4 linked regions of the Oryzias latipes genome follow. The main gene of each other region encodes a partner of the protein of the gene in region 3 in a complex. Links are inferred from orthologs where the notes say so. Each region holds a gene or a part of one and is shown on either strand. Other genes may lie near its edges.

What was found.
Region 1: the proteins of rab35 (region 3) and iporin-like are in contact, whole or in part, in a crystal structure (PDB 6IF2), measured with the Homo sapiens proteins. The link is inferred for Oryzias latipes from reciprocal best matches to the Homo sapiens genes RAB35 and RUSC2. Residues at the interface, in NP_006852.1 of Homo sapiens: Asp4, Tyr5, Leu8, Phe9, Lys10, Ser22, Leu26, Asp30, Ile38, Thr40, Val43, Asp44, Phe45, Lys46, Ile47, Lys58, Gln60, Trp62, Thr76, Arg79, Gly80, His82; in NP_001129471.2 of Homo sapiens: Val997, Lys998, Asn1001, Asp1005, Val1008, Thr1013, Arg1015, Lys1020, Glu1119, Glu1155, Leu1158, Leu1159, Gln1161, Pro1162, Leu1165, Leu1166.
Region 2: the proteins of rab35 (region 3) and dennd1b are in contact, whole or in part, in a crystal structure (PDB 3TW8), measured with the Homo sapiens proteins. The link is inferred for Oryzias latipes from reciprocal best matches to the Homo sapiens genes RAB35 and DENND1B. Residues at the interface, in NP_006852.1 of Homo sapiens: Lys10, Leu12, Ser17, Ser36, Tyr37, Ile38, Thr39, Thr40, Ile41, Gly42, Val43, Asp44, Phe45, Gln60, Trp62, Thr64, Ala65, Gly66, Arg69, Phe70, Arg71, Thr72, Ile73, Thr74, Ser75, Thr76, Tyr77, Arg79, Gly80, Thr81; in NP_001182144.1 of Homo sapiens: Met1, Arg4, Glu43, Ser47, Phe51, Val72, Leu73, Thr74, Asp75, Ile76, Glu77, Ser78, His211, Glu212, Arg213, Arg214, Gln242, His243, Ile244, Ile246, Leu249, His252, Leu253, Asp255, Tyr256, Cys258, Ala259, Pro260, Met261, Pro262.
Region 4: the proteins of rab35 (region 3) and acap2 are in contact, whole or in part, in a crystal structure (PDB 6IF3), measured with the Homo sapiens proteins. The link is inferred for Oryzias latipes from reciprocal best matches to the Homo sapiens genes RAB35 and ACAP2. Residues at the interface, in NP_006852.1 of Homo sapiens: Arg3, Asp4, Tyr5, Leu8, Ile41, Gly42, Val43, Asp44, Phe45, Ile47, Lys58, Gln60, Trp62, Phe70, Arg71, Thr72, Ile73, Thr76, Arg79; in NP_036419.3 of Homo sapiens: Val715, Ala718, Asn719, Ala720, Asp721, Val723, Thr724, Arg727, Leu728, Arg730, Met731, Glu734, Met735, Ser738, Glu748, Thr749, Gln751, Arg755, Asp756, Gln759, Met760.

What each region holds. Positions count from the first base shown.
Region 1 is NC_019867.2:448,220-452,298, forward strand, and holds the start of iporin-like, read right to left. Parts: upstream 2,847-4,079; 5' UTR 2,661-2,846; intron 2,645-2,660; exon of another isoform or gene 2,167-2,644; intron 1,272-2,166; 5' UTR 1,155-1,271; coding exon 1-1,154. UniProt on the Homo sapiens protein: Associates with the adapter-like complex 4 (AP-4) and may therefore play a role in vesicular trafficking of proteins at the trans-Golgi network.
Region 2 is NC_019862.2:14,380,487-14,384,652, forward strand, and holds the start of dennd1b (DENN domain-containing protein 1B), read right to left. Parts: upstream 2,856-4,166; 5' UTR 2,305-2,855; coding exon 2,288-2,304; intron 1,797-2,287; coding exon 1,732-1,796; intron 1-1,731. UniProt on the Homo sapiens protein: Guanine nucleotide exchange factor (GEF) for RAB35 that acts as a regulator of T-cell receptor (TCR) internalization in TH2 cells. Acts by promoting the exchange of GDP to GTP, converting inactive GDP-bound RAB35 into its active GTP-bound form.
Region 3 is NC_019867.2:25,726,992-25,731,316, forward strand, and holds the start of rab35 (ras-related protein Rab-35), read right to left. Parts: upstream 2,809-4,325; 5' UTR 2,538-2,808; coding exon 2,486-2,537; intron 563-2,485; coding exon 512-562; intron 406-511; coding exon 282-405; intron 1-281. Other genes in the region: eIF-2-alpha kinase activator GCN1, read right to left, coding at 4,068-4,193, 4,259-4,325. UniProt on the Homo sapiens protein: The small GTPases Rab are key regulators of intracellular membrane trafficking, from the formation of transport vesicles to their fusion with membranes.
Region 4 is NC_019862.2:12,591,574-12,595,133, reverse strand, and holds part of acap2 (arf-GAP with coiled-coil, ANK repeat and PH domain-containing protein 2), read right to left. Parts: intron 3,485-3,560; coding exon 3,431-3,484; intron 1,092-3,430; coding exon 1,033-1,091; intron 1-1,032. UniProt on the Homo sapiens protein: GTPase-activating protein (GAP) for ADP ribosylation factor 6 (ARF6). Doesn't show GAP activity for RAB35.

The sequences.
Region 1 (4,079 bases), about 25 Mb from region 3:
GAGGAGTTGCAGTTGGCATCCAGGTCCAGAGCCCCCTGGTACTCGGCAGAGCAGGAGCAGGTGGAGGAGACGGGGAGGTTGTTGGACAGGCAGGGGGGGGGCTGCAGAGGCTCAGTTGGCGAAGTGTGGAGGTCCAGGTAGAAAGCTCCTGCAGTCTGGCCCGGCCCCTCGAAACCCTCGAGGTTCAAGTTGGCTGAACCGGACCGGGCCGGTTTCTCACGGATGCCATTGTTCATCTTGTTGAAGATGGCGCTGAAGTTGACCAGGACGCCGTCGGAGCTGTTGCAGGACGAGTCGCTGCCGTAGGCCGGCTGGAAGTCGGAGAAGGCGTCGGGGAAGTTGTGCTGGCAGTGCGTCGGGTCGCAGAAGGAGCAGAGCTGCGAGGTCGACCCCGACGAGTCCGAACCCGGCTTGCTGCATCGGCCGCACCTCATGGACTGATCCTCGACTTCGTTGTCGTCCGCCCAGTCCTGCTCTCCACAGTCCATGGACGTGTTGGAGCCGCTGCTTCCCAGGCAGCGCCGGCTGTCCAGGTCAGAGGCCACGCCCCTAAAGGAGTCCCGCCTCTTTCCCTCCGATCCGTGCAAAACAAAAGGCTCAGCAGCAAAGTCCAGATGGTGCAAATGAAAGGCAGCCGTCCCACCGACACCGCTAGTGTCGCTGTGGAGGAGGAAGGAGGAGTCCTCCAGGTATCCACTCAGGCTGTGGTCCTCCTCCTCCTCCTCCTCCTCCTCCTCCTCTGCGTGCAGCAGGAAGGGGTTGTGGCGTGAAGGGGTCTCGCTCCGGGGTTTGGCTCTGGGAAGCGTGTGCACAGCAGGGAGCTGCTCCTCTGAAATACTGGAAGTAAAAGACGAGTTTCCACTGGCCGTGCTGCCCCCCCTCTTTGTTTCTGCTCCTCCTCCGGAGTGGGAGGACCAGGAGCTGCTGGAGGTGTGGATCAGGCTGCTGTAGAGCAGAGCTTCTCTCTGGAGGACATCTCGCTCCGGCAGGGAGGTGGTGCGGCTCAGCCCCAGGTTCTCTGGGGGGCTGAAGGGGCTGCCGCTCCTTAGCGAGTTCCCACAGTCTCCCTGCCGGCCCCCCGACACCTGGCAGTGCACCAGCGGGATGTGATGCACGATCAGGGTCTCCCCAGACAGCTGGGGGGGGCCGTCCATGGTCCACAGCCGACTGGAGGCGCAGGGAAACGGTGGCGGTTTTCAGGCGGCGCCCGGCTCTGCGGGAATCCCAGACGTCTGGAAGGACGGGTCAGGAAGGTCTGCGGTGGGGGGCATCTGCCAAAAGACAGACCGTGGGTCAGTTATGGTTTGAGTCCCAGCACCTGATGCACCCCCCCCCCCCACACACACACACACACACACACACAGGGAGCAGCTACAGCCATACTCTGTGAGTCAACCCCCCCAATCCAACCACCAATGCAAAGAGTCTACTTTTGTCTTTGGCACCACCAGATGTAACCCAAGGGACAGACACTCCACCACAGGGCCACTGCCTGCATGTGCCCTAAACTGAAAGCTTAATAGGGTGGGAGGAGCTACATTTGAGCGGTAAAAGGTCAGGAGGTCAAAGACAACAAAACACAGGCCTAAAGGGTATGAGCTGGTCACATAAAGGACGTCCTCAGGGGGACGTCTTCAAGAGGACGTCCTCCTCTGCGGGACGTCCTCCTCACCTCACCGGGACTGATTCCAGATGGAAGTCTTACACAAAGACAGTATTCTGATGCAAAGCCCTAACAGAACCAGAACCGTTACAAGGATCTGCAAGACCACCAGAACCTCCACCAAAACAATCTTCCAGCTCCAACAGACGTGGACCTGACCGGGGGGGGGGGACTACAGAGGAAAAAGACGTACGTCTGACGTCTGAGAGAGTCTGAGGCTCTAATCCTGGAAAAGCTCCGTGATGGGATCAGCATAAACCGGTAATGAGCAAGACGAGTTAAAAGGCACCAAACGTCCCGACAGCTTCAGCAACCAAACTTCAAAGGAAACTTGTCAAAATCACTGAAGAGAAATCTGGTGAAAGCTAGTTTCACAAAAGAGATTTTAAAAAAGCAATGAAAAGACATTCATTGATCAGATAATAAAACATGTTTCCTGCTTGATTGACGTCTGAGACCTTATTAAACATGAAACTCCTGATAGAATCGGCGCTGAAACACACCTGAAGGGAAATGTCTTCAGGTGGGGGGGTTCAGTTACTTCCTGTTGTCCCCCCTTTCAACAATGGCTCCTGCCCACCTTGATCCCCGGAAACCGCGGAGCCGCCCCTGGATGAAGGCCGCTGACGAGGCCGCGTTATGTCATTGTTTTCCCGCGGATGAAAGGAGATGAAAGGACCGACTGAGCCATTCCAGAGCGACCCGCAGATTCTAGAAACCCGCAGAGAAACGCAGAAACAGCAGCGATGACGTAAGAAGCCAGCAGGCGTAACACGCAGCCGCCCCAGCTGCTTGACGAGCTCCCCGTTACAAACGCCGTTACGAACCGTTAAACGCCGTTAAGTTAAAAGCCGTTCGAAGTCATCCAGGAAAAATGTCGGTGCTGAAGATTCACAGACACGTCCTTTACTGACGCGCGCGCACGAACGGTGGCGTTTAACGGGCCTCCGCCCTGCTCTTACCGGACACCAACGTAAGCTGTTATTTCTCCTCTTACCGTGATAACAACGACGGCGGGAAGCAGAGATGACGGAGCTGCTGCTCTCCGTTGTTTTCTCCGGTGGAGGCGGCGTGGGATGGGAGGGGCGCATGCCTCACGTCAGCGCGAGGTCGCTCTGTCGTCCCACACCAGATTATCCAACTGCGGGGGTGGGCAGCTGGCCCCCACCCTGCCGGTCACTCCACCAGCTCCACCTCCTGCACCGAAACCCGTTATTTACGCACAGCGGCAGACAAACAACATCAAAGGCCAAGGTCACACTGCCCCCCCCCCCCAACATGACCACGGCCTGCCACTTTGCTGACCCCCCTCCCCAATCACTTTGAGGGTCAATTAAGATCAATTAAGAGGGCTAATGGGAGGGGCAAAACTCTGAGAAGGAGGGGCTATGTGAATGTGATGGTCTGTTGGCTGGACTGGACGCTGGGGTAGTGGTTTCCACTCCCCTGCCACAGGTTCAAATCCCATCAGGGTTCACTCTGTGTGGAGTTTGCATGTTCTTCATGTGTGGGTTCTCCAGGCTCCTCCCACAGTCCAGAATCATGCTGCATAGCTGCATTGGAGACCCCAAACTGCCCCTTCAGGGTGAACGTTCCTGCAGAGGGGACCGGTCCACCTTCACCCAGTGGTGGCTGGGATAGGCTCCAGCAACCACATGGCCCTAATAGGGATAATGCAGGTCCAGAAAATGATGGACGGACAGATGGCTAAGTGTCCAGCAGTATAGTGCTGAATTCATCCTAAATGAAGCTGTCTGTAACATCCAGACATTGTTAATTATGAAAATAGTGATTTCCTTCAGGCATGTGCCCCCCGCGCCCCGCCCATAACATGACGTGGGAGACGTGAAGCTGGACCGACAGCAGAGACCATGACAGCGAGAAGCTCTGGCGTTTGTTTGGGATCAGAGCATCAGTGTTTTCTGATGATTCTGAGCTCAGTCTCCACCAAAATACCAATAAGAGCATCTTTAAACCTAAACGACGGCGACTTTGGCATAAAGGTGTCAGTAGATCTAGTTTCTGGTCTCTGTGGGACCCTTTGGGCAGGACGAGCGTCTCCGTTCTGTACATCTGTCTTTCAGGGACATACATTCTTTGTGTTTCCTCTTCCATAGAAACTATTTCCTTCTGTGAAAAAGTTTCAACCCAAAGAAAATCCACCAGTGGTTCTGGTCCTTCAGAACCGTCACACAGAGGAACAGCTGCCTTTACCTGCCTAGAATAGAACCCGTTGAAGGGGTTCTCACGTTCTCACATCACAGGTGTGGTTATAACCAAAGCCATGTCACATTTTCTGTCAGTTTCGAGCGTCATCTGTGTTGTTCTGCTATTGGTCCTTCAGAACCGTACAGGCAAACCACCAAACTAAAAGTCCCATTTTTCTCCAGAATGTGCCGGGAAATGAAGCCCAGAT
Region 2 (4,166 bases), on a different chromosome or scaffold from region 3:
ACCACATGACAGCAGCTTCCTCAACAGGAAGATTCAATCAGATGTCTGAACAGAGAGAGCACCTGGAATGATCCAGTCGAATCTGTGTTTTCAACTTGACCCGAGGCGTGCAAACGTTGCTCTGCAGCTATGCTCCAGGGAACAGGAGTCCGGATATGAGTCTGACCCCAGATCACACATGAAGGAAGTCAGTTATTACAGCAAAGGCCGGCGGTTTATGAGTTCGGTTGAAAATCCAATATGAGAACTACACCCAAGGACAACTTTCAGTCCGTCTGCTCAAGTCAGCTCAGCAGCTGCACAAGTGAAGCATCCAATAACACCTCTTTAAAGTCTGAACTGAAAGGCCAAAACAGGAGAGTGGGTGCAATAAGCAGTGAAAATGTTTTTACATTACAATTGACTTACAAATGCCACTGGATATTGATGTGAAATTCCCGTTACTTTATTTCCCATATTAATAAAAAGCAGAGAAGAGTTATTCTTCACTGACCGCATTCATTTCAAGGTTTATTATACAGGCCATCGGTGCTGGAATGTTTAACCACTGCAAGTGGCAAATCAATCCACCATAAGATTTTAAAAAACTAAGTGGGGCAATAGTTGCAAAAGTAAGCACACATAAAAGTGTATTTATCCTAAGACACGCACTGTAAACCGATATCATAAGATCATAAGCCAACTTATGTTTCATACAGATTTCAGAGTCTTGTGCTTGACAGAGTGATTCAAGAAGCAGACTAAAATTATATGACAACAGCCATAATCACTACTCTCATTATCCACAGTCACCCTACTTTCTCACGTTAATGTAACAGTGCACACTCAAACAATGACTAAAATAACAGACTACACTAAAGCCATCATTTTAGCATTCAAGTAGACACAACCACGTTTGTGTGATAACATATATTAAAGTAAACTTTTTTTCAACAATATGATTTAATAAATTACTTTTTGGACAAAAAGCGATTTTTCACCTAAATCAGGGGGTCTGCAACCTGAGGCTCAAGAGCTCCTCCATCCATCTATTGTGACTCTTTGGCTTTAGAGAAAAATGCTAACCATTTATGAGAAGAAAAATGACTGTTTTGTTAGTTTCTTGTAGCTAATTCGGTTCTGTCATTTATATTTAGAACTTTAACATAACTGAGAAAAATATTGGTAAGAGTGGTTTCTATAATTAGAAGAAGCTTAATGCACATATACATTTGTTTAAAAATCAATGAGGCATGTTTATATTGGATAGTAAAATGAGAAAAAGGATGATGGTGCATCAAAGTCACAATTGTAGAAAGGTCATGTTTAATTTGGTTTTCTTGAATTTTTAATTCAAATAAAATCTGCTGAAGCAGGAGAATCCCTTTTGACACCGGCTATTTTATTTTGAAGGGAACTTAGGTTTTGGTCAATAAGAAACTGGACCAAAATGGCTCTTTTAGCATAAAGGTTGCAGATCCCTAACCTAAAGAAAATAAATAAATAAAAAATAAATAAATAAATAAAGACTAGGATTTTTGTGTTGTTCTGCTTGCTAACAACTGCTGGCGTTAGAAACAGTTTATGGGACATAATGATCTTTTAGCAAAAATGGAATATGGTAAGTGGAAACATTGGATATCATCAAATAAAAAATTCCGGTTTCCAAAATAAAATGTAAAACTTTATTCATTTTTTTTTTTTTTTTTTAATGGTTTGAACTCATGATAGTGAGCTGTGTGAACTACCTACCCTCATTCTCAGATGTTGGACATGCCACTTGCAACACCAGATCAAATGTTCTTTCTGGATTCTCCCTGAAAATCAAAAGGGTGTTTGATGAGAGGACTGACTGCAGGTGCTGGTGGTGTGATAATAACGCCTAAAGAGATCCGTTTAAAACGATTCTGCGCACGTGCAAATAACAATATACTGTATAAATTAGGCAGATATTCAACAAGTACTAATATTTAAGTTGCGTTATCTAACCATAAAAGCGTTAACCTGACTAACTAGTGGGTCACTGGGTGTTTTGCTTCATTTCCACGTTGACTAATTACTAAAGCTGTCGGTCCGCTAATTGACGTTCAGGTAGTTAACAACAACAGACTGACCCAAATAATGCTGTCGAGCCAGCTGGCCTGGCAGTTAAATCCACTGCTGGAGATGGCACGAATTACGCTAAACATTCCTGCACATGGCATGCGGCTCCGGGTTAACGCTACGTGTCTTCGCCCCCACGTTAGCCGTTAGCACGACCGCTGTCGGCGGAGGGACGACAGGCGCACACGAAACTCGAAGGGCTTACTTTATCCTGCAGTCCATGGTTTGGTTACAACATCCCGACAGCTCCGTGCTGTCGGCGGCTCTGCTGCGTGAATGTAAGCACCCCGTCCTTCCTCTGTCTCAGCTGTCACGTCCTCCGACGTCTCATCTGATCCCGACAGAGAGCTGCAATGACCTCATGTTTGAAGGTGGCGGAATGTCGCAGTGTAGGCTGTCTTTTCTATCGTATATGTGGCCTGCTGTGAAACCCACAATTCAGCACCACCGTGACTATTTCCCACAACAAATCCCACTCCAGGAAGTTCTGTCAAAGATTTGGTGACGTCAGCGCGTCGCGCGGGCACAGCTTCTTACGGTGGCGCGAGTCTTCAATATGAAAGGAGTCCAAATGGAAGGTTGTTTGAAATGCTTTATTTAACCTATATTTTTTATAATTTTCATACTTAGTTTTTAGCATTCACTTTACAAAGAACGTCCCTAAACACAAACGCGTTACTCACGTGCTGAATCAAACTACTACATATGTATTTAGTATACCATGACAAAGGTCGACTGGGTCATTTGAGGTGCTCTTTTTGTTCATCTAAGTAGTTACTAAAAGTGAAGCAGCGTACTTGAACCTTACTTTTTATAAACTATCTATAAATTGGAAATGTTCCTATTTATCAACTTCAAGAGTACTGGTTTTTGCTAAGGGTATTCAATTCTACAGCATTTAATTATTTTTAAATATAATAATATGAATGTATTCACATATATTTATATATTTTTGCACTGCTTCATATATCAATATGCTGTATATATTACTTTTCAAAAGTGACTGTTTCCATAATTGCTCAAAGTTTAGACACTATTGTCCTTTCAGGTTAAAGACTCACTCTCAAGAAGATTGTGTTTCTGCTGTTTTCAACTTGTGATATTTTTTTGATGGAGGACATATGTTAAGAAAATAAAGATTAAAATTGCAGTTCAGAGTATTTCTTTATTCAAATTGTTGTGAATCAGGAGCAGACAAAAAAATGCATTTAAAAAAAGATCATAGCTGTGATGTAGAAGCTACAATGAGCAGGCCACCAGCTCCATCCACTGTGGATGACTAAATCAATGTACGTCTTGGTTTTCCTCGTCTGAGCTGGTACCTGGCTGAAAACTGGACAGCTGGATAGCATCAATATTGCTCGCGATGAGGTTAGGTTGGGGGTGTGAGGGGCTGTAAGGTAGCCGGAGAGACTGGAAACCAATGGATGATGGGAAATGGGGGGGGGGGGGGGTGCTTACTCATGCCAACATTTCCGCCCACAACTCATAGGCAAATTTTTGATGAACTACTGCTGCAGAAATTACTTCCCAGAAAAGGAGTTTCGAGTTGGGCTAAAAATATGATCAGAGTGAGACTTCACTGATCTCATACTTCCAAGCGTTTGACCATTACTGATTACAAAGTAACAAATGGTGATTTGCATTCAAAATGTTTGCTTAATCAATGTTGTTCACCAGCTGGATGGCTCAGTTGGTTAAGTGCAGGACTGGCACATGGCCTAAATGTCCAATTGTTTCAACTGCCTTATTTGGTGATGATTACGTGGATCAGGTGAGTTTAGCCAAAAAAGGAGCTTTAAAATGGGAGGTTGGTTGGAAAACACACGGCACCAACCCTCAAGGCCTCTCAATGATTGTGGGACCCCTGCTCTAAAGTATGACTAATATGCTTTTGCACAAAAGCTGAGGTGCTTGCCACAGTTGTGATTTTATTGCGCCACTATTTAACTACTCTTGCTGCTACAATTTTCACTTAATTTCATTTGTCAGGCCGAGCACTCCAATCAAAATTTTTTATATATATGCACATACTGGCAATTAACTCTTTCTGATTCTGATAATGTTCCTCTCAGTCATTTGTT
Region 3 (4,325 bases):
CTTTTTTTTTTAAAGAAAAATTAATGTTGGCAACATATGGAAGCTTCTGGACAACTTTGTAACACAAATAAAAAGACACAGCTGCTGCCACCATGTAGGAGCCTCCCTTTTACATCTGTAATTACAAAAAGAAGGGAAATACACCCAGTTTCACAGTAAAAAAAAAAAAAAAAAAAAAAGAGTGGCTGTAGACGTCAGCCAACTGCTGATATGAAAGCCAATCCAAAAACCACAAAGAGCTTTACCTGGTTTCATGAAAGGTTAAGTGTAAATCTACGTACGTGGAGGTGATGGTGCGAAAGCGCTCCTGCCCTGCCGTGTCCCAGATCTGAAGCTTCACCTTCTCCCCGTTGATCTCCACTGTCCGGATCTTAAAGTCTACACCGATCGTGGTGATATAGCTACCTATAAAACGGTAATAGAAAACCACGACAACAAAAAGTTTGACTGAGAAGCAGTGGTAATGTCGAAAGCCTCGAGTCTGAGTCACAGCCGAGACAGAGCCACACACCTGAAAATGTGTTGTCTGCAAATCGCAGGAGGAGACTGCTCTTCCCCACTCCTGCAGAGGAAACACAAGCACAGGAAGAGGTTTTCACGCAGATATATGACATCAAGACACACACACACCACTTTTACCAACATTTTTCAACAGGATTTGACTGGAATCTGTCCAACAAAACCTCACGGTAGTTTCAGAAGTTTTAGGGGATTTTACATGCCACCATATAATCTACCTGCAACATTTTAAGGCAGCAAGTGTGGGAACATCAACAGTGGTGTAATCCTTCTGCATATAAGGATTGATTTACACAGTGAGGTAAAAAAAAAAGGTCACATTATACTTTATTTTTTAATAGAAGAATACTCAATCAGATGGAAAGATGATGGTCAAAACACCAAATACACTAGTAACAAAATAAATAAACCGGAGGGGGGGAAGTGGAAGTCAAGAGGATCTATAAGGTGTCCTTCACAGATTCTATTTTTGATTAGAAGTTCAAATTAAGACTGTAGTCAGGACATGTATTTATTCCTTTTAGTGTCATTGTCAGCTGCTTTTTTCTTAGGTCCTAATATAGAAGCTCTGAGGTTCCTGCAATCCCTACTCGGCAAAGATTTGTTTGATCGAATAATAACCACACTTCATAGCAGGAGGGACTGACTATGAACGCTCATCCGCTCTCCAAACCAAAAATCCCTGACAAACACTCGATGCAACAGAACCAGCCAAACTTAAAGCACCAGCATCTGCAGCCTAGAGCTTCAATAACTGGATGATTCTTAATAAAGTAGTGAATCATATTTGTTACAAAATTGATCTATATTTAAAATCCCTCCAACATAAGCCAAGGTAGTTTGTTGGACAACATAGCAGCGGTGTATTTGTTAATGCTACATAGGATAGGTGCAGAGGGTTAGCACATCTTTCCCAGATGATGCCTGCTTTTTGCAGCTGTGCACACTGGCTTCTGTGTTCATCACACTGACTGACCGCCCAGCTGATGATGGAGCAGCAGTGCCAGGAATGGGGCTGTCAATGAAAGCAAAGATTACTGCTCACAAAGACTTCCAATTGGCATCTGCTCCTGATGTTGGAGTCAAATGGGAAAAGTCCCTTTTTTGTTAGTTTGATTTGATGAGCGCTAGTGGAGTAATCTCATTTACAACCGGCCTCCAGCATCGAGCTATGTATGTCAGTGAGACACAGGTTTTCATTATAACACAGGAATCAAACATCTTCTATTGAAGCTGAACAGTTTAATAGACATATTTGTGGCACTTTTAGGCTTAGTTGAAACTAACCACTTGGTTAGTCTCACTTCAGCTTGGAACCACCGTCTGCAGTGCAGCAATCCTCCTTTACGAAGGAGCTGCCTGATACTTTCGTGTTAGCAAGCTGGCTACCCAACAAAATTCATCTAAATGGCTTCATCTAAATATGTGAACGTAGTCCACTTTTATGGATCATTTCTAAGCAAACAGTTTTTTTAAGGAACAGGTTAAATTGTGGTTTTCCACGGTACCAGGTCTGAAATCGTGACATTAGCCTAGCTACAAGTTAGCCAACATTTTAGCTACGGTGAAAACAAACAAGCAGCAAAATATGAGTGTTCTGGTTCACGTGGGTACACGAGAAACGGAGTGAGCTGGTGTGTGGCTAAAACAAAAATATGCCGATTTAAAAAAGCGGAAAATTTCAAATATTTCTGACTTGGACCATGAATATCTGTAGGCGGTATCCGGCCTGATCGGCTGACACGCCGTGCCTGTCCGGACACACAACCTCCGCCCTGTCACCGGCACAGAAAGAGAAACATGGCGGCTGTCTCTTTGATACTTATTTCTTCACATAAATCGAAATAAATAAATAAACGAAGGCGTAGCAGACTGTTTCTGTTTTCCCTCCCGATTAAAAGGATTTTTTCATAAAGAAACCCCGACAAGGCCTACTTCCCGTGTCGCATCCCCGGCATCTGCTTACCGCTGTCACCGATGATGAGCAGCTTGAAGAGGTAATCGTAGTCTCTGGCCATGCCGGTAGCTAGTAGCTCACCCCCGCCTTGTGCCGCTTCTTCCTTTGATTAGCTGCACCACTCCTCAAGTTTGTAAACAATTCAACAACCTCCCGGTATAAAACCAACCGGCCACTATCAATGCATGAAGCTAATGGCCCCCCGAGCCGGCGGCGTTCTTCTTCCTCGGGGTTTCGCGGCGTCAGCAACCCTCTCACTCCGCTGCAAACAGCCGGAAACTCCGCTTCCTTCTCTGGTAGAGCTGCACCCAAGTATGACCCAGCCCCACTGCGCAGGCCCCAGCCACAGCGCCACCGTCACGTCCCACTGATGAGCGCAGGTTACAGGGACGCTGGAGGCTGCAGGACAGCCAGGTTTCACACGCATATTTATGTACAAAAGAGCCTGATTGTATCTACAACTTTGCGACAAAGTGTAGGGTGTATCAGTTTTATCAACAGGTATAGCCTAAATGTTTTAAAGACCCATTCCACTAAAAATCGTATTTTTTTTATCATGTTCTTGTTACATTTTCTGACAGACATAAAATTAAGATTGAAACTGCATTTCTGAGTATTTCTTTATTTAAATCGTTGTGAATCAGGAGCTGACGAAAATCTTGTAGCAGTGACACTGTAGCTCCAGTCACCTGTAGGCCATTTGCTCCATGCCCACCTCCATTTGGATGAAGACAAACAGATCCATCAACGTCTTCGTTTTCCTCGTCTGAGCTGGCGTCTGGCTCCAAACTGAACTGTTCAGCAGGATAGCTCTAATATTACTCGCCATTTTTGTTGCAGCGGTAATGGTAGATTGGGGTTGTGAGGGGGTGTGTAAATAAAGGGATGATGGGAAATGATGGAAGGCTTACTCTGCACCAACAGACTAAGAGGGTTGTTGACTTTTAATGAACTACTGCCGCTCTGCAGAAACTATGTTCTAGAAAACAACAGATTTTTCATAATTTAAAGACCACTGGGAACACTTTTAAGATAGATCAAAAGATAATCGGTGTGGGACTTTCAACAGCCAACAGAGGAAAATCATTATTCCGCACAGTTTTGTGAATGTTTTTTTATTATTATTTTGCATCACTTTGTACAACTTTATCATTGATAACAATGATTGTTGTTTAATGGGTTTCTTTCCCAAACAACTGTCACACACAAAGTCCAAATAAAAGTTAGAGATGGGGAGTTGTTTTATGACATAGGCATCCCAGATGTTTTTTTTTTTGGTAAAATAGGTAGCAAAACACTTAAGTATCAAAACCGATTTGGCATTGTGGCTGTCAAATAAAGTTCAGTACAGGAAAATAACCTGCACATGAGAGGAACAAAACTAAAAAGAAATTGGGCTTAAAAGCCTCTAAAATGATGATGTAAAGTTGAGAAAGAAAAGAAATTTCTGGTATGCGTGAAGACCTCAACCAACAAAGCTCATCTCCCAACAAGCCCACGCAGGACAGAATGAGATTGTCCACTGAGTGTGTCTGAAGTTGTGGAACTTTTGTCGATCTGGGTAGGTTTGATTTCGTCGGTAATTCCCGCCTCATGTCAGAATAGTGTCGTCGATTTCTTCATTGGAGTCTGGCAGGCTGGCGATTTTCTTTAGTGAGCGGCGGTGACATTCTGACAGCAGATCGTTACTTGCTGAGTCCAGAATGGCAGTGACACTCTGAAAAATCAAATGATTAAAAATCTGAAAACGAGAAAGAGTGTTTAAACAGAAGCCTCACTTACTTGTAATGTCTCCTCTCCATGGCGGAGTCTCAGTAAGTTGACAATGGTGTGTTCGCTCTGGGCTCTG
Region 4 (3,560 bases), on a different chromosome or scaffold from region 3:
CACTCACGTGCCTTTTTGGCATTAGTAATGCCCACACTGTGCCCTCCAAACAACACTTTTCTCCTCTTTTCCACCTCGCCAACGATAACTTCTACTTCACATTGAGTGAAGTTACGTTTTTTTGATTTTCTCTCCGTGTTTGGCATGGTTTCGCAATCAATGAATATTCATTTGTGGGCGTTTCACGGACTATTTATGGGCAACTATGGGCGTGTGATGAGGCCGCAAAAGCTGCGCAGCATTTAGAATTGGTTGTGATTTATTAAGGGAAAGATGCGTAGGATGTGCATGCGCACGGTTTTATAACTCTGAATATTTCTGTGCGTACGCACGTCCTACGTTTCATCCGTACGCCACTTCTGACGCAAATCCTACGCAAAGTTTTATAAATGAGGCCCCAGGCTGTGAAAAAAAGTTTTTCTTCTTTCTGAGTTTAAGGTGAACAATAACTATATCAGGACAACTGAAATTTTTTTTAGGTCACATTTTTTTTAAGTATTATTATAGCTAATTATAAAAACGTTAAACACAATCGATGTTTCGGGACTCGATGTTTACACCTGTGACCCCGCAAGGTTTTTTTGACAGTTTGTTAACGGGGAAATTTCGTATTCAAGACAAGCAAGAGTCAAATTCAAAACAAAGAAAAATCGTGTTCAAAACAGACAAGCTAAACGTAAAACTAAATTTGTATTTATATTTTTTTTGCAAAGTTGTGCAAAGATTATTAATTTGTGCACAACTTTGTCTTTATGAAAATTTTTCTTATTGACAGATCCCCATACTTTTTTTATTACAAAACATGGAATATACAACATTAGGCAAATAGTGATTATAAAAGTCGAATAATAAAAAAAATCATCAGGCACCACTATTTACCATACAAACAATCTTATCTTTTAAGGTAAGAATAACAAGCAATAAATTGATATTTTGATACAAATTTCTCCAAGATGTGAGCATACAGAACAGACATTTTGTAGATCAAAAACTTTTTTTCCCCCAGTTTTTAATTATTAAATTGATACTCACTCTTTAACAAATGTTTGCAGCTGATTTTTTATGGATCTCTGGGCCTGATCAAACAATATCTGTAAAGAAAAGAGTTTGACTTTTTAGAAACTCGATGGAAAATTGAGGCACAAACAGGATAACACAGTCTGAAACTCAGGAAAAAAGCTGATAAATACATTCCTTTTCAAGGCCACTTTAGCATTCAGCATTTCTGTCTAAAGAGGCTTTGTTAACAACAGCGGGTGCAATTAAGCTGTTAAATTTACACAAACAAGCTGACTCAGTAAAATCCCCTCATAAAAGACATAAACAGAAGACATGATGTGGTGGGTCGTTTTCTGTATTTGACTTATACTCTCATTAACTCACGTTTCCTTAAAAATGAGTTTCACCGAAACACACTAGTTTTGTTTGTTTTCCTAATAAGGACTTTTAATTGATCTTTTGCTCCAAGAAAAGCCAACATGAGCTGCGTGGCAGGGAAAAACCAATATGCACCAGAAGATCGCTGAGTGGCAAAAAGCTATCAGACAGTCAGCTGATGTGGTCAGAGTCTCCTGTGATGAGTAAGAGTTGCAGGCCTGCACTGCGGCTCCTGGAGACTTCCTGGTAGAGGAGACTGGAAGGTTAGGAGGAGGACGTGGTGAAAACTCAGTCACTAAGTCACTGTGGTCTTCCTCCCACATTGCTTTTCTTTGTGTAAAAAACATCAAAGACATCTTTTTTATTTAAGAACTCATTTGCCACAGAAATAAGGTTGTAAAAAGCGAATGTGAATGTATTTTTACAGAAAATATTAGTAAAACAATAATAATAATAGAATTTAAAGTGGTCAGTAGTTTTGTATGGTATTTCTTTAAACATTTTTTAAAGAATTCCTGAAAAATTGTAAATAAATTATACTTAGGGACATGTCATATTAGGTTGTCATGGGAATGAAAAGGTCAATATAGTAGAACGCTATCAGCATACTTTTCAATATAATATAAAGTTATCAGTAGTCCTAGTAAGATAAAACATAAATGTACAATTAATCTTGGTTAAACAAATTTAGAAAGGTCAAACATGACAGGGATGTTTCTTTACATCTTGGTGGTCATAAAATTGAACCACTGGGATTATATTAACTTTTTAAATGTAGACATGCTTATTGTTAATCTAACAGGAGTTAACATAATCTGGGTTATCAGTGCACCTCTCAATTAACCATTTCTAAAGAGTTTTTATAAAATTGTGTCTAATTACAGTTATTGGCATTATATTTGTTGAATAAGCAACATTTCAGTCGAAATGTTGACACTTTATTTTTGTGTGAAGTTAAACAGAATTAAAATTGCGGCTTTTTTTCATCAATGTCTTTGTATAAAAACAGATTTCAAAGATTCTTTTGGCAGTTCACAAATTCTCCAACAAATCTTTGGCAAATATCTCTTCTCAGTTCTGATTTCTGTCATTTTTTGAAGGCCTATCTACCTTTTAATGACAAAACCCCTGAATATTTCAGTTTTCATTTCTTTTTCTTTCCTTTGCTTTCAGTAATAAACTGAAACCAAACCCCCCCCCCTCCCGGGCTGCTTGAGTCCCGATGCCGGGGCGCTCCTGGCCTGGGGGTCTCTCCTCCCCTCTCCCGTTCTGGCTGGCTGGTTCCCCTTATGCACACACGGTTCACGTCGGCAGCATGCATGTATCTCCACCCCCACGTGCACGTGCACACTGCCACACTGCTCCCTGTCTGCTTCATCCCTCCTCCTAACCCACAGTGTATTGATGGACAGACATTTTCCGCTCATCTTCGTGTCAGAATTTCACCTTTGATGTAATATTTGTCTTTCCAGCAGATCTGGTATAATTGTTACAGCTTAAAATAATGACTTATTCAAATCAGTACTTGTATCCCCCACTTTCTCAGCTCTCTTCCTTTTACTCTCTTCCACCCCCCCTCTCACATTCTTCCCCTCTCCCTCCCCCCACACACTAAATGTAACTAATAAATAAAAATAATACAACAAAAAGGGGTTTATACAAATCTACACTCTAGTTTCTTGAAGTTCTATAACCTGTTTTTGTGATGGTAAAACCTGTCCAACACAAATGGCTTTCAGCTCTAATCTGCTTGCTTAGCTGTTGGACAGAACAGTCAAAAAAAGTAATAAACTGGCCATTGTTTAAAATAAAAGACCAGGAAAGGCCCATTTTTTTCCTTGCAGAGCCTGCTTCAGAGTGAAGTTAGACGACAGCCACTTTGCTCACTTTAAACCACAAAGTATATATCTAAAAGAAAACATGTTTAATCCTTTTTCTTCAAAGAGTTTGGGCCGCAACTACGCTTTCCTCTGCAGCTCTTTTCCACAAATAAATTTCAACAGAAGCTGTAACAGTACATAAACCCATCCTCTTTAAATAAGTGATGACGTACCGTGTGATAATTGATCATCTCCTGCAGGCTCTCTGCAAACTTTGTGAGACTAGACTGTGGAAAAAAGGGAGAAGACAGTAATTCAGGTACATTGAGGACATGCCTGTGGCAACCCCATCTATGAAGAACA